3 linked regions of the Drosophila melanogaster genome follow. The protein of the gene in region 1 interacts with the protein of each later gene in a pairwise test. Each region holds a gene or a part of one and is shown in the gene's direction. Other genes may lie near its edges.

Region 1 (7,766 bases):
TCTAGCCAATGAGCGCGACTCCAGTATTTTGGGTGAGTACGGTAGAGTCTGGAGTAGACTCGTGCTTGATTGCAACTAATTGGTAGGTCTCACGGAGAAGGACATCCTCACCTCGATATCGCCCGATGGCACAGTGATCGTTTCGAATCGCATCAAGGCGACACTCTATTGCTGGCTCAACCTTAAGAAGTTCCCATTCGATGAGCAGCACTGCTCGACGGTGCTGGAGAGTTGGATGTACAATACGTCGGAACTGGTCCTCCACTGGGAGCAGAAGCGTCCGATAACCTACGATGGGGCACTGCATCTCACCGAGTTTGTGCTGCAGCGTTCCTGGTCAAACGAGACGGTAATCAATGCCGATTTGAGTGACCTGCGTCATGGAGCCTTTGCCGGCAACTACAGCTCCCTCAGCTTCACCGTTCACCTGACGCGAGTGGTTGGCTTTTACCTGATGGACTACTTTCTACCCTCCATGCTGATTGTGGCCATATCCTGGGTATCGTTCTGGCTGCAAGCAGATCAGGCGCCGCCGCGCATCACGCTGGGCACCAGCACCCTGCTGACATTCATTACCCTGGCCTCGGCACAGGGAAAGACTCTGCCAAAGGTTAGCTACATCAAGGTGTCAGAGGTGTGGTTCCTGGGCTGCACCATCTTCATATTTGGCAGCATGGTGGAGTTCGCCTTTGTTAACACGATTTGGCGTCGTAAGAAGAGTGTGCCCGTCAAGAAACTGAACAGCAAACACATCCTGAAGTCAACTCTATCGCCGAATCTGCTCAGACGACGCAGTCACGCCAGATCCAGATCCTTTTCGGGCACGGCTCTGCATAAGACAGCGGATACCGGCTCGCTGGGCGGTGCCGGTTTCAACAATTACCTAACCGTCAATTTGCCCATCACCACGATTAAGGAGGGCCAAGTTCTGGATCAGCAGAGGACCAGCCGCGTCGTCCAGAAGATGGATGTTAACTTTGTGGAGAGTGCCTTTGGATCCATGGGCTCTGCCCAGTCCACTGGAGCGATCAGTGCTGCCAGCAGCAGCCAAACTTTGACCAACAATAACCGAACGGAGAGCGCGGGGCACCAGGAGGAGATCGATCTGAGTGGCTGGACCACGCTAACGCCCCAGGAAATAGCCATGTGGATTGATAGTCGAGCCAGATTCGTTTTTCCGCTCTCCTTTCTCGTCTTTAATCTGTTTTTCTGGACATTTGTCTACTGTATTTAAAAAAAGGTCCATTTCATTTTATTATTAGATTACACAGTAGATTTAATATTGTGAAAAGTATCCAATTTAAAGTGTTTATTATTTGTACCCATCGTTTAGCATAGTTTGTTTAATTATTGTGAAAGTTTTGTATTATGTTTGTTTCACTTTGTTCTGTAAAATGATTTTATATTTATTCTGTTGTAAAATAAAGTTCATGATTCTATGGCTGCCTAAAAAACACCATCAATTATTTAAATAAAATAACCTATGATAAAATAAATCTTTCGGACTTGCAATTAAATATTAAATAAATAATAAATTAAAAAACTTGTTTTCAACAACGATTCCATTACCCGCCTCGTTTTCGATTACGGAAATCGATAGAAATATCGATAGGCCAGGCCAAGGAGCACCGGCCAAGCCAACCTGTGGGTTAGAGCAGCACAACTATACCGCGTATTCTTATCGTATTCGTTTTTTCCCCACACATACACACACACGGCTCACGCATACAGCGCAACAATAACATCGGGCCCCAAAAAAAAGGGAAAAAAGACGACGGACAAAAACTTCGTCGTGAATTGTAAAATACAAAAAAAAAACGCATTCGAACGCGCTGGTTTGTTTTTTTTTTCACGTGTAACTACGCCAAAAAAAGGGCAAAGGAATTAAGCAAAAAAAAGAAGCAGAACTTCGAAGCAGCAACAACAACAGCGCCGCATTTTTGCTTGTATGTGCAAGTGCAAGGCAAACATAAACAACGCGCGTGTGTGTGTGTACCACGAAAATATCGTATAAATCAAATTTCTATATCATTTATATAGTTTTTTTTTTGTTTTTGCCATCATAATATGCCATATAGCGATCACCGAAATCCAAACGCAAACCAAACTCCAAAAAGTTAGTTTCAAATACAACCACACATCGTTTGGATCGTGTTCACAAACTTATAGTAGGAAGGAAAAGGAAAAAGATAGAAAAAAAACGAACTAAATAATAATAAACGAAAAAGAAAAACGGCGCTGAATGTTAACCGGTAAAGATAGCGGTAAATTGCGAGGGAGAAGGACGACAACAACAACAACAACGACCGCAGAGGGGGCAAAAGTCAGCAACAAAGTGCATCCTCCTTCTCCTGCTCCCCATCCTATTCCTTATTTACTGTTATAATGGACACCATCTGTAGATTGTGCTTCCAAACGGCAACGGTATGTTAACAAAAAAAAAAAGATATACACACATGTGATTTAGGTATATACACTTTGTTATTTCTATTGATTTTTTTTCTTTTGGTGGAGTTTAAACAATTGAATTCGCGCTACTGTTATTGTGCGGGCGGGTTGTTGGCGCAGGGGGCGGGGTTCAAAAGCGCGCGCATTGCCCCCCTTTCCCCACACACATACAAACGCACACACACAGAAATAAGAAATACACATACACATGCGACCCCAAACTATTGCTGAACAATTTTTATTTTTAGCCAACTCAGCCCGAAAAGTTGTTCAAGCCGACAACTTGAAAAAATATTATTTTTACATTTTGCTTACGCTCGCCACTCGCTTTTCACTTTGACTCCTTTTCAACCTATTCCCCCGAACAGGCCCCCCTCTTTCAGCCCCCTCCCGCCGCCCATGAACCGCACAAAAAGAAATACATATTAAAACAAAATGACAGAAATTGCGCCAAGGCAGCCAAATACGCAGTGGCTGCGCGTTAATTTAGTGACAGAGGGTTTACTATATTGGGCATCTAAGCCCAAAAATTTAAAGTTAAGCGGTTATAAAACTAACAAAACAGATCTAACTTTGCTTGGTTTTTAGTTCATTATTTAAACAATTACCAAATAACCCCTTTTTTGTAGGCGACGCCTCTGCCGCCGCCGCTGGCAGAGCGGCGGCAAAGCAAAACAAAAAGCGAAAGAATAACAAAACGTTGTACCGAAGAAAAAAAATAACATGAAATGAAAACAACAACAACAAAGCAACGAGCTGCTGGTGCTGTTGTTATTGTAGTTTCTTTTCTTTCTTTTTCGCTCTCCATGTGTGCGTGCCTGTGTGTGTGCGTGTGTTTATCTTCTTGGCTCTTATTTCTAGTTGGTGGAAAAGAGAAAGGGCTAGTTGGCATGGAAGGGGGAGGGTATGTGTGGAATAAGATTGAGTTGCCACAATAAATAAAGAGCATTATTGGTTTTTTTTTTCCAATTGGAAGCACTCTCTAATTCACGTGTCCTGTTCTGTTCTATTCTATTCCCCCGCCCTACAGTTGTTCCAGGTGCCCGGCTATAGCATACCCACGTGCGTCCGCTGCTCGGAGCAGTTGACAAATAATTCCAACTTCCATCAGTCGGCGGCGGCCGCTGCAGCCGTCGCTGCCTCTGCCTCGGCCGCAGTTGCCGCCTCTGCAGCAGCGGCGGCCACCTCCTCGTCGACGGCCTCCTCCAGCGACAGCGACGCCATCGCGCAGCAGCAGCAGCATCAGAATCCGCAGCAGCAGCAGCATCAGAACTCGCAACAGCAACAACAACAACAGCAGCAAATGCAATCATCCAGTTCTTCCGAGAACCTACAGTCGCAGGACGACTCCGAAGACGTAAGTCCATTTCAGGGATTGGGATACCAAGGCAGGGAGAGTGTTGCAAAGGGCATAGTGAGTGGGTTGCACTACGTGTAGTGTTACGAGAGGCATGGCAAGAAGTGGCAGCGAATACAGTGCTGCAAAGGGCTTACTAAAGGAGATAAATAAAGTAAATAACTGAAGGTCGTTCTTATTTTCAACTAAAATATGAACGTCTTGAATATGTATATTAATATCTATGAATAAATTTAAAATTTAATCCTAATGTTTAATAGTCCACGAAAAGTGTTCTATGGTTTAGGAATCCAATCAATGCAATTGCCCATCAAACTATAAATGATTCAAAAAAATTGACAATTTAAACCTAATTACAGAGTTCACTGCAATCCTCAGTAGATGCATTGCATTTGGAATTATAGGGGTTTGAAGACCCCCATCAACCGTTTTCAGAAGAGTGCTTTACTTCCCAGGGAGTTCGACTCCTGCTCCTTTTGCTGCACTTGTTTATTATTGTTGTGCTATTTTCTCTTCATTTTCTTACATTTCACTACTACTCCCCCGCTCACAAAAGTCTTACATATACATATACATAAATGCACACGGACACACTGCACATTCATAGCCGCTGCTTTTCTTCTTCACTTCTTATTTCGCCGTTTCTTTGCATGTTCTTGTTGCCTTTCTTTTTCCATCATGCAACAGAGAATTGCAAAAAAAAAAAATGTATAAATAAATGTAAAATTGCCTTGCGACGACTTGGGAATGCTCTATTGCAGACATGTTTAGATACTATTTACTATTGCTGCTATTTACATAAATTTCAAAAAAAAAACTTCAGTACAGTCTCATTCCATCACACAGTCGACGTGGTAGTGTTGGAAAGTTCTTATAGAAGATTAAAAACGGTAGGCCCTACAGATATGCATTACAAACGGGTTAGAAAAGTGTTGAGCGTGAGAGTATTTTCTATTCCACTTGCTACATTTCGCACTGCTCATTTTCTTGTTTTCCTTTATATTTATATGTATATATATATATATATATAGATATATGTATATACACATATATTTTGTGCTTCTTTTTCCATTAATATCTGCTCTGTCGACGTCGACGTCGAAGTCGACGCAGCTCGGCGTTTTTGTGCGCTGTGTAAAGCGGAAAAAATTCATTTTCAGTTGGCGCTTTTGGTGTGTGGGTGTGCGTGGCACGCAGAAAAATAAATAAAATAATTATAATAAAAAAAAAGCTCGTGAAAAATATTAAATGTAACTCAAGTGATTCCCCAATAAACAAACTGAATTCGCACGGGAATTTGCAATCCGTTCTTTTGGCCGCCAGCTTGTTGAGCGTGAGTGGGAGTGGGAGGGCGATAGTGACACAGTGATGTGCACTTGGCTACTTATTCGTTAGAACTATATGCATATATAATGTACAGCTTAGAAAAAAGGTTTTTCGCATAAATTTATAGTAGGTTGTATTAAAGTAAAATGGCATATCATATATAATGCCTTTCTGATGGAAGGTAACCCGCGGTAGAAGGCAAGCCCTTTGCAACTAATGTTCGATTTGTTTCTTTAAGGTGGATCTGATATTCAACGAGGAGGGCTCCTGCCCGCTATGCAACAAAACTTTCTCGCGCAAATCCTCGCTCATGACGCACATACGAAATCACTCGGCGGAGCGTAAGTTTGTGTGCACCTACTGCCACAAAGGTGAGTCCCATATGCCGTTCGCACACATCATCTGGTTCTTAACAATCGATGTACCTCTTGGATTTTCAGGCTTCACGCAGGCGGCCAACTTGCGGAACCACGAACGCATCCACACGAACGATCGGCCATATCAGTGCGTGGACTGTGGCAAGACCTTCACGCAGATCACCAATTTGAACAATCACCGCCGGCTGCACACCGGCGAACGGCCCTTCGTTTGCAATGAACCGGAGTGCGGTCGCAGCTTCGCCCAGGTCAGTTCCAAGATAAATTGATAAATTGCAGAGGATTTATGATAATAACGGCTCGATATGTTCTCGCATTGCAGGTGACGAACCTGAACAACCATATGAAGTCGCACCACAAGGTGCAGCAGTACTGCTGCAACGTGTGCAACAAGAAGTTCACGCAGGTGACCTCGCTGAACCAGCACCTGCAGGCGCACGCTGGGGTCACCGGCTACTACTGTCCGCGTTGTCCGGAGAAGAACTTCAAACTGCAGTCGCAGCTGCATACGCACATGAAGACCCACGGCCTGGCCTTTCCGTACGAGTGCGACAAGTGCGACGAGAAGTTCCTGCAGCAGGCCCATCTCGACCAGCACCTCAAGATGCACGACGAGTTCAAGTTCAAGTGCGACATCTGCCCGAGTAGCTTCAATCAGGAGTCGCTGCTGAAGAAGCACGTGCAGCGCCATGTCGAGGGTCGCTACCTCTCCTGTCCGGTGGCCAATTGTGCCGAGTCCTTTGCGGTGCGCCAGCACCTCTCCAAGCACCTGCTCACCAATCACGCCCACCACGAGCTGCCGCCTCCGAAGCGATCCAAGAAGGCGGGCACGCTGCAGACGTCGCAACAGCCGCTGGCGATGATCGGCCAGCCGTTGTCACTGCAGCACACGACAGGGCAACGTAAGTGCTCACCATTCACTCATTCACTTTGAATCTCACTACGCCTTTCGTTGCATATCCAGGTGGGCGTCCGCCGAAGAACAAGAACAAGGCGACAACGCTGGCCGCCACGGCCATCAAGATCGAGATCAACGAATCGCTCCACAGCCAGCATATCAGCAATGTCAGCGGCCTGTCCATCCAGCAGCAGATCAATCAGCACATGCAGCAGCAGGCGGCACAGCAGCAGGCGCAGCAGCAGGCGGCACAACAACAGCAGCAGCAGGCGGCGCAACAACAGCAGCAGGCGGCGCAGCAGCAGCAACTGCTGCACTTGCCGATGGGACAGGCGGTCAAGGCGCGTTTCATACCCACTAAGTAGGCTAGTTAAGAATGGAAAGAAGGTCTCTTTTAGCTTAAGCCCCGAACGATCAGCTGCTAAAGTCCCTGATTAGCATAGCCATAGCCAAAGTAGCATCACATTCAGCACATACACACGTAAAATATGTTAGATATATGGCGCGGATGTTTTGGAGTCTCTGCAGATCTCTAAATACTTTTGGGTGTCTGAAGTTGATGTAGAAATCATTCTTTATATGCGTTACCCGTGGAGTTAAGCGTATGCTGGATTGGTGAAAAAAAGGTATGGAACAGGCAGTAGGAAGCGTTTTCGTCCTTGAATTCTGAATCAGAATGGAATGGGGGAGTTAGTCGAGTTCATCGATTAAAGCTAGCTTTTAGTTTTTCTGAGATGCACTTGTCCTACTCTCGCATTGAGTTCAGCATCAACTTTTTGGGTATCAGAATCCACTTAATTATCTTGAAATCGGCGAGTGGACTTCCAAAACATCCCGAATTTAGAGTCGGCGGCAAGCTGCTGGTTCAGTTTGGTGTCTGTCTCCCACTTCCTGTTTTGAATTCAGCAGCCAAAGCAATAGAGGAACCAAATGCCCCTGAATAAATTTCCAAGAATATTAGCAGCAATGCATGACATCGAAAGAGATAAGGAGAAAAAGCAGCAGCACCAGATGGACAGACAAAAACACAACTGACTTATAAAATTATGCACATAACACCCACATCTATATATACATTATATTATATAAACATGAGATCGGGTTGAGAAATCTGTAAAACTTAAATCGAATTAAAATTTTATTGTAATGCAAAGGCGCAGCGAAACGGAAAATATAATGTTGAAAAAACAAAAAAAAAAAAAAAACAGAAAGCAAATACAAATTACCTACAATTGATAGTAATTACGCATAGAGAAAAGTAACGAAAACAAGAAGTGAAAAACAATTCGATTAAATTCGGTATGTATTTATGTTAGGCATTAGCTTAAGTGTTTTTATTTTTTTTTTAATAAACCATTAC
Region 2 (7,895 bases), about 12 Mb from region 1:
TAAAAACTTTGCATCTCCATTGATGCAGAATTCTTTTGCGGATATTTGCAGTGCAAACAGTCCTACTCAATGAGTGGACATTAGGCCAATTAAGGCTACTTTCAGATGGCAAGATACGCAGATAGGTAGATCGAAAGATAGATATATGGATATGTGGATAGGTATCCGAGCGATAGAAGGCTGCACATGGACAACTGTTAGCCAGTTCGTAGAAGAGGCCGGAAAAACGCTGCCAACTGTCCAAGTTCGCTGGCAACTGTCCAGTAATCGAGGGGCAAAGGGGGTGTGGCATTGGGACAACTGCGCATTGCGGTTTCTGCATTTGTACATTTCTTTTTCATAATTTCTCGCATGTGCACTGAGAAAAAAGGGGGTATCCTTTCGGTCCTATGTCTCTGTCTTATGTCTTTGTCTTTATTTTTTGGTTTTTTCAGTGCCAAATTCTGGGCTTACTTCATTTAAATATTATATTTTATAACCAATTCGTTTTTAACTTAATATACTAAACTAAACTTCTCTCAGTGCTGACATTGCTGGCCGAGTGCAATTATTTTAAGCATTCAATTGGCATTGGCAGTTCGAACTCGAATCGACCGCAGACCGCAGGATATACGACTGGGCTGGCAATTATATGCATTTAAGTGCAATAACCGTCATCAGGACGAAGGACTCGGTTGACTTTTCCTCGCATTTGATGCTCCGGCAGACGCTAATTATTTTAATGCGCTCCGCAATTGAAGCGCGCGCTTCAGTCCGCTTTACCCCCGCCCCCGGCGCCCTAATTTCCCCGCCACTAATGACCTTCGCAGGTCACCTGACCTTTTCCCCCTTCCGCTCATGGTTCTCTCCAGGTTGGTTCAGTTCCTCGACCGGAATCAATATCAATCAAACGGAAACCGCCGCTCTCGACAAATTGCATTTGTTCATCCCGCTCCGCTTCCCTTCCTGCAATTAGTCCTGGACTAACATGTGGCCACCGAAACAACCCAAAGGTGAGCCTAACCACCGGGCTATTGGCGTGAAATTTTAATTGCCATCTTGTTGTCTGAGAGCGTGGAATCGAAAAAAGCGACGCCCAAATGTCGGGCGTATAAGGTTTTTCGACTCAAAAATCGAACAATTTGGTGTTAATTGAAGTTCTAATATATAAAGCAAACACATTTAAGGAGCTCTTAAAATATGTCAAGCCAAATGGGACTAAGATTATTTTTAATAAATCAATGATAAAACATGATTGATAAAATTGTTTACTGGCTTGACGTTATTCGCAGATTTCTAAGCGAATATATATAAAAGTATTATAATATTCTTATGTGATGGGAAAGACAGATGTTTTGACATTTCGGAATTGAAAAGTTTTGGTAATTTATGTCTTAATGGTCTAATTGTTAAAGCAGTGAACATAAAGCAGAGTTAATATTTTTGGAATAATATTTTGTTCACAAAGAAGAGTACTCTTCACATAGTAATGCAGTAGCATCGTCTCCATCTCTCAGATCCAACTAACTTCCTCGTAGCGCCATTTTAGGCCTTTTTCAAGGCCCTGAAGAGCTCAAGAGCGTTTGACCGACATTTGGTGCTATAAAAACCGAGAAACCGGGGAGAGACTTTATTTCACCACGCCGTGGTGGATTCACCACGGTGCCGGCAACATGGCGCTGCGCGAGAGAGTGACAGCCGATGAGACGGCGAGAGCCGTGGAAGCGAGAGGCAGCGAAAGCGAGCGACTGGCCATCCCCCTCCGGCCTTCGGTAGCATATGCGGCCCAACCACCGCCTATGACAAAGTGGCAAAATTGTTGCCACAGCCGCCGCTCGAGCCTCAGCCGCAGTCGGCGTCGGCAGCAGCGTTGGCAGCGGCGGATCGGGCAGGTGCGTTTCATAAACGTTCAGTCTCGTTTTGGCAGCCAAGCCGCTCACGACGTCGCTGGGTGAAAAGTTGAGATAAGGCCAAGAAAACAAAAAAACAAACAAATAGAAGACAACTTGACATCTATAGGAAACTCCAGTGAATGTGAATTTTTTTAGTGAAGTGTTGAAAGCAAATATAATTCGTATAAATAATCGGCAAGAAAAGGGAGAAAGAGTGAAACCCCCTAAGTCCTATGAAAGACTCGATGAGCATACTCACCCAAACGCCCAGCGAGCCAAACGCAGCGCATCCCCAGCTGCACCACCACCTCAGTACGCTGCAGCAGCAGCACCACCAGCACCACCTCCACTACGGCCTGCAGCCACCGGCGGTGGCTCACAGCATCCATAGCACCACCACCATGTCCTCCGGCGGCAGCACCACCACCGCCTCGGGCATCGGTAAGCCCAATCGGTCCCGCTTCATGATCAACGACATTCTGGCGGGCAGTGCGGCGGCCGCTTTCTACAAGCAGCAGCAGCATCACCAGCAGTTGCACCACCACAACAACAACAACAATTCGGGCTCCAGCGGCGGCAGCAGTCCCGCTCACAGCAACAACAACAACAACATTAATGGCGATAACTGTGAGGCATCCAATGTTGCTGGCGTCGGTGTGCTGCCATCTGCCCTGCACCACCCACAACCACATCCGCCCACGCATCCGCACACACATCCGCATGCGCTAATGCATCCGCACGGCAAGCTGGGGCACTTTCCACCCACCGCCGGCGGCAATGGGTTAAACGTGGCTCAATATGCGGCGGCCATGCAACAGCACTATGCCGCTGCTGCTGCCGCGGCTGCTGCGCGCAACAATGCAGCTGCTGCTGCAGCCGCCGCTGCTGCCGCTGCAGCTGCTGGTGTAGCCGCACCACCCGTCGACGGGGGAGTGGATGGCGGGGTGGGGCTGGCGCCACCGGCGGGCGGCGATCTGGACGACAGCAGCGATTACCACGAGGAGAACGAGGACTGCGACAGCGGCAACATGGACGATCACAGCGTTTGTAGCAATGGTGAGGTGAGCCTCTGTACTATGCGGGGGGTGGGGTGTTGGCGGCATTAGAGGGTGGTGGGTCAGTATAGCATTCTCGCTAATTCTCGAAAATGCATTTTCAAGCAGGAATTTTCTTCATTCAAAACAAGTTCGCAATGTTTTATAAACAAATATTGGGTCGAAATAGAACCAATTATCAACAAATCTGATTAATGTTGAGCCTTATGATAAAAAATATTCAATATTCAAATTATCCAAGTCATTTTAAAATAAAGCTATCACTGCCTGGTGCTAAGCTTATAAAGTACATATCAGATATTTTTACAACTCTACGACCACTTGCCTTTTTTTTTAAACAGTTGTCCAGATTGTTTTGTAAAGCTAGACACAAAACATGCAGATCTGATAAGTTTAATATTTTTTAATTTGAACGCAAATTTTTTATTAATGATATTGATATTGCGTTTTAGTAACATATTCCCTTTAGGTGATATTAAATATATTTGCACTTAACCAATTCTCAAATGTAGTGAGTGTAAAGGCAGTCGTAAAATAAAATTACTCAAATTCCCCTTTAAATCGTGTTAATGGTTCTGTTGTGAAACGCATTTCATCATAGCCAATTGAAAAAGTAATTCAATTAGGTAAAAAATAAGTAAGTCCGTTGTGCAGCAGTCAAGTTCGTTGCCTAAGTCTTTTGTATTGAAGCGTGCGCCTGAAATGGGGGCTAAAGTGTGGAGCGCGGGGGTGGGGCGGCGGCCCTCGTCGATGTCGCTTTGCAAAACAAACTGTAAAAATTATTGCATGACCATTTTACATTCTCGTTCTTGTTGCTTCTATTTGTTGTGGTTTTAGTTGAAAAAAAAAAATACTTTTTCACGCTTTGTTTCCGTCATTGCGAAGCTTCTAAAGTCCCCTTGCCTCCTCGCCCCTCCTCAAACTTGGGGGCATGCACCTGCGAATCTGAGAGCTATTATGGCAGAATGGAGGCGTGGCTCGCAGTGGGCGGGGGGTTGGCGGAAGAAGAGGATCTGCCTGAAATGCAACAACAAAATGCAGTTTAAAACTGCCGCAGCCGCAGAAAAAATCTCAAATAATTACACACATCGCACTCACTGTTCCCCGCTTCGCCGCTCGCTCTGCTTCCTCCTCCTATCTCACGCACCTGCCCCCTTCGCAATCATTTAATTGTGGAAATTGTTATAAAAATGCATTTAACCCGCTTTAATAGACGCCCCATGGCAATGGCAGCCGGGCAGCAGCAAACGAAAAAATGTTGCAGTCTGTTTGCTCATCTCATCGCCACTCGGTTCGTTTTACTTCGCTTTTGGCCAGCTTCTCATGCGCTCCACTCCATCTGGGCCCTGTTTTGTGCCATTTATTGCCGCAATTTCCTGTTGCCAATTGCACTTTTATAAACGGTAGTCGCGTCGGCCAGCTCTTTTGGGATGACAGCCAGCGGGCAGGGAAGGCGGCAATCCGTCAATTCATTGGAATTTCACAATTGCGATCAGCTTCAGTTACAAAAAAACCAAAATGAATATTGATCACTAGATTTTATTTATAAATTTAATGAAAAATCATAATTATAATAATAAAATCAGATAGGAAAGTTAACTTTTAAAGCTTATATTTGAATTATAAATTTGTAAAAAAAAAAACAAATTAGGTTTTTTTTTAACAACACTGTCGCCCAATTTTATTTGGCACATAATTCTTGATTTTTGGTTTTGCCTTTTTTTTAACGCTCCACAAATTATCGCCCGCAAATCGATAATTCAGCAAGTCGGCGCCAACATTCGTGAGTAATTTTCTTTAATTGCAAATTAATTTTATTCAATTGCGGCATTATCGCTCATTTATCGCTGCCATTAATCATTTATCGTTTACGTTTTATATGGTAAACAACTTTCGCCTTGGCGGCAAAATAAGCTCTTGATTAGCGATGATTAATAGAAATAATTAGCAATGCATCTTTATTTGCTTCATATTTCAAAGTTCAATTAGAGGCATAGCTGGATTTTCAATAAATAAAATAATATTGACTTCTTGGTATCTCATTATCAATAACAAAGATTGAGTCCACTTATTTAATGGATCGTGCAAAATTAAAATCTTGAAAAGATTTTATTATTGTTTGTCTGCTTCCTGATAAATTTATATGCTTAAAACAACAAAAATATGCTAAGATTGTTAATTTCCCCGTTTCTAGGCCTTATTAGACCAAATTTAAATGCGGCACTTGGCAAGTTTTCGCTTTAAATAATTTAACGCTTGAGAGTTTACTTAGCCCGCGTCAACCCCTTAACCCCCTCGTGCCCATGGGCCAAAAACTCGCTCTCGCTTATCGGGTAACCACCATCGGTTGAATTTACATAAATTTTATGTACTAAATGGCTGGCCAGAAAAGGTGGAAAAGCGGCCTTTTCTGGCCAAGAACACTTTTCGCAAAAAGGGGTGCTTTGGCCTGGTCAGCTTGCCTATCTCTCTTGCGGCTTTTTGTGGCAAGTTTAGACATTTTGCGGCACGTTTTTATTACACTCACACACACACGAACCGCTTTGTGAGCGGAAGCGGCAATTGCGTGGCCATAAACGAGCCTCTAACTGTATCTGCAACTGTTTTAATAGATCGCACAGAGATCTAAATCGAATTAGCCTTATGGGCATACCAAATCACCAACAAATAGTGATTTTCGGTAAACCATCTCGGCAAATGTTAAAAACTAGTTTTTAGGCATTTAAAGTTTTATAGAAATGTAACTAATATACCTTCGTTTTAAGTTTAAAAGGGGGAAGTGAATATTATAGTATGTATTATAAACAAACTTCATATTTTATGATAATAAAAAGTTTTGGAGTTTTACGCATATCCTACTTTGCCAAATGTGGTATTAGATTAGACATAATGGACTTTTTGCCCTTAGTTTCTTAATATTTCTAAAATTGAAATTCTCTTTTCTTTCAGGCGGTAAAGATGACGATGGCAACAGTGTCAAGAGCGGCTCCACCAGCGACATGAGCGGTCTGAGCAAGAAGCAGCGAAAGGCGCGTACCGCCTTCACGGATCACCAGCTGCAGACGCTCGAGAAGTCCTTCGAGCGGCAGAAGTACCTTAGCGTTCAGGAGCGCCAGGAGCTGGCCCACAAGTTGGATCTGAGCGATTGCCAGGTGAAAACTTGGTACCAAAACCGCAGGTGGGTTTTAACTTTAATGATTTTTTAATTTGTATTAGTTTTCAAAGATGAACTTAAGAAAATACAATAAAATCTATACACATATATTCTTATTGAAAGTATACTAAAGTTTGGTATCTATTATCATTTTGCAGAACCAAATGGAAGCGCCAAACAGCAGTGGGCCTGGAACTCCTCGCAGAGGCTGGAAACTTCGCGGCCTTTCAGCGACTTTACGGCGGATCGCCTTACCTGGGCGCCTGGCCGTATGCGGCCGCTGCCGGCGCCGCCCACGGAGCCACGCCCCACACGAACATAGACATCTATTACCGTCAAGCGGCCGCTGCGGCCGCCATGCAGAAGCCACTGCCCTACAACCTATACGCCGGCGTTCCGTCCGTCGGAGTGGGCGTCGGGGTGGGCGTGGGTCCGGCACCCTTCTCCCACCTGTCCGCCTCCAGTTCGCTGTCCTCGCTGAGCAGCTACTATCAGAGTGCCGCTGCGGCTGCCTCCGCTGCCAATCCGGGCGGACCGCATCCGGTAGCGCCACCACCTTCGGTGGGCGGAGGATCTCCGCCCAGTGGCCTGGTCAAACCGATTCCGGCCCATTCCGCATCCGCCTCGCCGCCACCAAGGCCACCATCGACGCCGAGTCCAACGCTGAATCCGGGCAGTCCGCCAGGACGATCCGTTGACAGCTGTTCCCAGTCGGACGACGAGGATCAGATCCAGGTGTGAGCGGTACGCCGGAGTGCGGCGATTGTGTGCGTGTGCTAATCATCGGGTTTGGGCGGTCTCAAAAGTGCGATTTCCAAGGGGATACATAAACTACATAGTTGGTTTCACGAATTTAAGTTACATATCACTCATTTTGTAAATCAGTCGGATCGATGATTTTATTGTTCCATAAAACATAAAAGTTTACATGGCATTTAGGTTATTTAGATGAATCAGCAGTTGCATTATTCGTGCACCATATCACAACATCGTTTTTATGGTTCAAACTTTAGTACAAAGGTATTTTGTTTAAATTTAACCAAAATATATTTGGAGGCATTTATAAACTTACGATCTAAACAAATTATTGTTTAAGGTCATAAAAAGCAGCACAAATGAGTTCAGTATTCAAAACAAAATCATGGAACCGAAAATTTGAATGGAACATGCATATTAAAAAAAAAAACATTTGTCAAAGATCAATATCCACAAGAATTCGCGTTTTTGAATCTCCCCTTAAGCCCCGCTTGTGTGTGTGTGTGCCTGCGTGTGTATATATATATTAATATCCCTGTGAATCTGTGTGTGTGCTTAATTTATTTGATTTGCTCTTAGTAACTTATTCGAAATGTTTTTTAAAGAGTTTTTTTTTTTCAATATAAGATAATGAAGTAAAATTAAGCAAATATTTATTTAAATGTTGTAAAAACTAGCAGCCAAAAAAGCAAAATAATTTTGTATAGTTAAGCCTAACCACGAAATGTATTATCGAATAAACAATTTTTTTTTTGTCGGTAGCCTAGACCTATAAACGTTGTAACTGTAAAATGTAAAGTACATTTAACCGCATATTTTTTTGTCTAAATAAAAAATAACAGAATGTGAGAATAGAGCAATCGTTCTGCGGGATTTCGTTGGGAGTGGGGGAGGTTGGACGTGTCCCGGGGCAATTAATATAATGACCAACAGAAACAATTTACAAACGATGTGTGCGGGGAGGGGTGGCGGGAAAGGGGGTTTTATGACGACGTGCGAGCCAACCCCTAATGATAATAATTGCATGCAAAATGCATTTAACCGCAATTAGTGCATTTA
Region 3 (4,747 bases), on another chromosome or scaffold:
CTGCTCGCTGGCTTTTCGCTTTCGCGGAGGATCGTGGATATGTGGCTCCACCGATCGCCCAGTTGCCGTTTTCCTGTTATTTACAGTTTCTGGTTGCTTTCGCTGCTGCCCGTTGGAAAAATGGCAAGCTAGCATGCAGTTGACGTCGCCGCCGCCGCTGATCATTGACTTTCGTTCGTTCCCTTTTGCGCCAGGCGTTCGTCACGAAAATTGCGGAAAACGTTAGGGAAAAAGGAAAAAATACTATTCGAAAAAGAGATTTCTGTACCTAGTTAATTAATTCCTTGTACCCTTGCAATTTGCACAATCATATTATTTTTTATCATTGTCCTTGAATGTAAATTCATTTTTCGGGAAAATTTGGCATTGTTTGCTTTTTATTTTCAAGTCAAAACATTAAACCTTTTTGACTCAGAAGCAAATTCCTAAATACTTCATTTGATCTTCAAAAATAATTTTCAGGAAAGTATTTTCATGCCAAAAACTGCAGTTTTCCACTTTCTTCTCGGTGAAAAACAGCCCACAAACGCAAAAGCAACATGCAACATTTAAACTTCCGCATTGCAGAATTTGCTCTCCCACTCTGCCGTTCGGCCTTTCTCTTTCCTGCCTGCTCAGCTGAAGGTTCTTTGACTTGACCCCCCTTGAAGGCGCCCACACTTCTGCCCTCTCTCTTTCTCGCGCACACACACATGCCCATTGCCCTCTCCCTCGAGGATAGTGCAAACTAAGTAACGGTCCGAGTCTCTCTCTATTGCTCTCGCTCGCTGCATTGGTGTGTGTGAAATTGATCTTGAGTGGATGTGTGGTTGCACTTGGAAATGTTGGAAGTCGATGCCGACGTTGGCAGCAACGCCGGCAGCGGCAATAGAAATTGAAAATAGCAACCAGGAAAAGAGTTTGCAAATGAAAAAGTGCAGCAACAAAATACAGCTGCAACAGCGAGAGTGGCAATGCATGTTTCTGTTGTGCTGTTGCTGTTGCAACAGTTGCTGCTGCTGTTGCCGATTCTATTGCTGCAGCAGTTTCTAATGTGGCTGCAGCTTTCCAAGTTGTTGCTGTTGCAGCTTGTGTGGCTGCTGTTATTGCTGCTGCTCTTGCTGTCGCTGGCGCTGGTGGAGATTAGAAAGATAGAGCCTCCAGTACTCGCATCACATTGACTCTCTCCAACCGATCTGCTCCCTTCATCTCCTCCAGCGGCTCCACCTCATGCTCCGGCGGCGGCGGCGCTTCGCAGTTTTCCCACTCCATTGGGCCACACAGACGCAATGCATTCTATTTTCCTGCTCTTTCCACACACAGACCAGCGCACAGTTACTCACACTGGCGCAGAGGGACACGTTCTTGTTCTTCTGCGCCGCTGCTCCGTCGTCGTCTTGGACTTTTGTGTGTTGTCGTAGGTTCTACAGTTTAGCTTGGATTTTCCCTGGCGCATTTGGAGCGCTGCGAAGTTGGCGCTTGGATCTCGACGAAGCGAGAGTTTTGTACGCGCGATCACCATTTCTCCCAAAAAATAATAAAATCGACGCGCGAGTGTGCCGCCACAAAACGAACCTATATCGAAACGAGCGCCCGATTTTGGAACTAGCCTGAACTTGGAAACGAAGGACTTCGAAAACAACACGGAAGTGAATTGAAAAATTATGCAATACAAGCTATTACGAAGGCTAAGTGCAAGTGACAAACTTAAGCGAGGGGATTAGTAATGAGAAATGCGAAATGATCGTGATAATTGAATTCAAGCATTAACGAAAGAACTGCGCACAAAGTAGGGAGGCAATAATTACATATGTACATGGCTGGGAAAGGCCTTAACTAAACTTAGCAAACTAATAAATAGAAAAAAGGAAATATTGGCCAAATATTATAGTATTGGGAATATTAGGTTACTTGATATCAAAAATTAATGTCTATTTTATACACTTATTCTTAGACTTAATGTTAACTTATCGTACTTATTATGATTGGTTTTTCAAGATTACCAGAACTTGATAGATTGGTCTAGCTTTTGAAATCGGATAGCATTTTCTTTAAAGGACTTTGCCATATGCTAAAGCCTAACTTCTTTTTTCAATTCAGCCACAGCTGACAAAAGCGAAGAAAATTTGAAAGACCGTGAATCCTTTTGAAACGCCCTCTCCGGATTCCTCATTAAGTGCAAAAGATATAACATCGCAGAGATTTCCCATAAAAATGCTGATCAGGCGCCCTCGCAGGTTGCCAACGTCGATTTCCGCCAGCAGGACGATGATGAAGATGATGGATGCCCATCTCACCGATTCGATCCGAGCAACATGGATGTATACCAAATAGAGCTGGAGGAACAGGCACAAATCCGCTCCAAACTGCTGGTCGAAACCTGTGTGAAGCACTCGTCTTCGGAGCAGCAGCAGCTCCAAGTTAAGCAGGAGGACCTCATCAAGGATTTCACTCGGGACGAGGAGGAACAGCCAAGCGAAGAGGAGGCGGAGGAAGAGGACAACGAAGAGGACGAGGAAGAAGAAGGCGAAGAAGAAGAGGAGGACGAGGACGAGGAAGCCCTGCTGCCGGTAGTCAATTTTAATGCAAATTCAGACTTTAATTTGCATTTCTTTGACACACCGGAGGACTCGTCCACCCAAGGGGCCTACAGTGAGGCCAATAGCTTGGAATCCGAGCAGGAAGAGGAGAAGCAAACACAGCAGCATCAGCAGCAGAAGCAGCATCACCGGGATTTGGAGGATTGCCTAAGTGCCATTGAAGCTGATCCATTGCAGTTGTTGCATTGCGACGACTTCTATAGAACATCAGCCCTAGCAGAGAGTGTTGCAGCCAGTCTAAGCCCACAGCAGCAGCAGCAACGGCAGCACACCCACCAGCAACAACAGCAACAGCAGCAGCAGCAGCAACACCCTGGACAGCAGCAACATCAGCTCAACTGCACGCTGAGCAATGGTGGAGGTGCTTTGTACACCATCAGCAGTGTGCATCAGTTCGGTCCGGCCAGCAACCACAACACCAGCAGCAGCTCCCCCTCCTCCAGCGCCGCCCACTCTTCGCCGGACAGCGGCTGCTCGTCGGCCTCCTCCTCCGGATCTTCGCGATCCTGCGGATCCTCCTCTGCATCCTCCTCCTCGTCAGCGGTCAGCAGCACCATCAGCAGCGGCCGCAGCAGCAACAACAGCGTCGTCAACCCCGCAGCAACATCTTCATCTGTTGCGCATCTGAACAAAGGTACGTGCAATTTGCAACTGACACTGCGACTCTTCCGCGTTGTCGTCTCCTCTCCTCTGCTGCGGACCATTGTTGTCGGTCTTTGAAATTGTGTTCAATAAATTTGCATTCATTGCATAATAGCTGCAACAGCAATTGAAAGTCGTTGGGTCTTCGGTTTCTTCTCCTTTTGAGGAAACTATTAAAGCGCAGCATGGAAAATGTGAAAATGAATATAATTCGCTGTTATTGGCCAATGGCTGTTGCTGTTTCAGTTTTCTCTTTAGTGCGAGGAAATTGCTTTTCATGTTGCACGTCTGTCAATGTGCTTGCATTTGCCGCTGCATTTGCTTTTCCTTTTGGGTGCAGTGCAATTGAAAGCCATGGAAAAGATGTTTTAATTTTCATAAATCGCCTTGAATTGGTCTCGGCTCTCTTTTGCCTTGGATGATGGTATTTGAAGGGGCTAAGCCCATTCTACTCCTCCGGGAGTAGTTGGTGGCTCGAACGAATGGGTAGTTGGAACCGGAAATGCAACAAAACATAGGCTTAATAACTACTACGGTCAGCTGCTGCTTACACAGAGACTTTCAAAAAAAGAAACCAACATATATATTTTAAACAATTTTTTTTATAAATATCTAAATCCAATACATTTTTATTGCTGAATGATTTACCGCCACTAATAGCCAAGAAAATGATTATTTAACTTTAAATATAAATTTGTTTATTTTCAATAAATTTTATAATATTTTGAACTACAATTCGACATTATAAATACTATTCGGCTTGGCTGAACTTGCAAATTGCCTGGATTTTTTGGCGAAGATTTCATTTCGAGTCCTGGAATGGCAACATTTAATTGCGTCAATTAGTGCGAATGAAAATTAAATCTGTTAGGAAAGGCCTTGAAATCAAGCTGGGAATTAGAGGAAAAGTCAAAATCTCGACTGCTTTTTCCACGGCATTCAAATTGATATTCCTCTGCCGGGGCAAAAATTGACTGCAATCGCTCGTTGTCCACTCCACTCAATTAGTTGTCTTCAACCAGATAAATGCATGAAATGAAAATGGAAATGGGAAAAAGTCGAGGAAATATGAAGTCTTTGTCGTCTATCGTCCATGCCTCTGACTTGTCTGACAACGCGGAAATGCCAAGCAGTTTTCCACCAGCCAGTCAGCCAGCCAGCCAGCCAGCCAGTCAACCCACAACCCGCACCCCTTTTTCTTCGGCTGGATAAACAATGGCGTTTCAAATTGTCAACTTGCAAAAGCCACCAAATGATTTGCATTTGAACGCGGCGCGAAAATGAAAAGCAGCCACTTGAGTTTCCTTTGCGTTTTCTTTTCTTTTTCATTCCTGCCCGGGCCGACGACATTTTCCAGACGCCGTTGTTGTAGTTGTAATTGTTGTTGCACTCCAATTGTAAAAATTCAATTTGCAATTGCACAAGCGCGTAACGCGCCATCCACTGTAAGAAAAAACAAATGATGTAAACATGCATCACCAAAGTTGATCACCAAATAAATATTAACAAATTTAAACGGTTTCGGA

What was found. Proteins that work in one complex are often made in the same cells at the same time.
Region 2: the proteins of CG32772 (region 1) and B-H1 interact in a two-hybrid assay, tested with the Drosophila melanogaster proteins (one large-scale study listed by BioGRID).
Region 3: the proteins of CG32772 (region 1) and Eip78C interact in a two-hybrid assay, tested with the Drosophila melanogaster proteins (one large-scale study listed by BioGRID).

The regions. Positions count from the first base shown.
Region 1 is NC_004354.4:4,907,374-4,915,139, forward strand, and holds the start of CG32772 (uncharacterized protein), read left to right. Parts: upstream 1-1,728; 5' UTR 1,729-1,946; exon of another isoform or gene 1,947-2,078; 5' UTR 2,079-2,385; coding exon 2,386-2,424; intron 2,425-3,478; coding exon 3,479-3,805; intron 3,806-5,007; exon of another isoform or gene 5,008-5,138; intron 5,139-5,369; coding exon 5,370-5,502; intron 5,503-5,571; coding exon 5,572-5,756; intron 5,757-5,830; coding exon 5,831-6,410; intron 6,411-6,472; coding exon 6,473-6,771; 3' UTR 6,772-7,766. Other genes in the region: CG6927 (uncharacterized protein), read left to right, coding at 1-32, 87-1,234.
Region 2 is NC_004354.4:17,395,590-17,403,484, forward strand, and holds B-H1 (BarH1), read left to right. Parts: upstream 1-1,888; 5' UTR 1,889-2,104; coding exon 2,105-2,927; coding exon of another isoform or gene 2,928-2,932; intron 2,933-5,875; coding exon 5,876-6,104; intron 6,105-6,238; coding exon 6,239-6,821; 3' UTR 6,822-7,689; downstream 7,690-7,895. UniProt on the Drosophila melanogaster protein: B-H1 and B-H2 are regulated by members of the wg signaling pathway; wg and dpp. B-H1 and B-H2 are coexpressed and functionally required in R1 and R6 receptor cells and primary pigment cells for normal eye development.
Region 3 is NT_037436.4:21,225,179-21,229,925, forward strand, and holds the start of Eip78C (Ecdysone-induced protein 78C), read left to right. Parts: upstream 1-1,740; 5' UTR 1,741-2,294; coding exon 2,295-3,213; intron 3,214-4,747. UniProt on the Drosophila melanogaster protein: Induces the early late puff 78C which triggers puparium formation and development.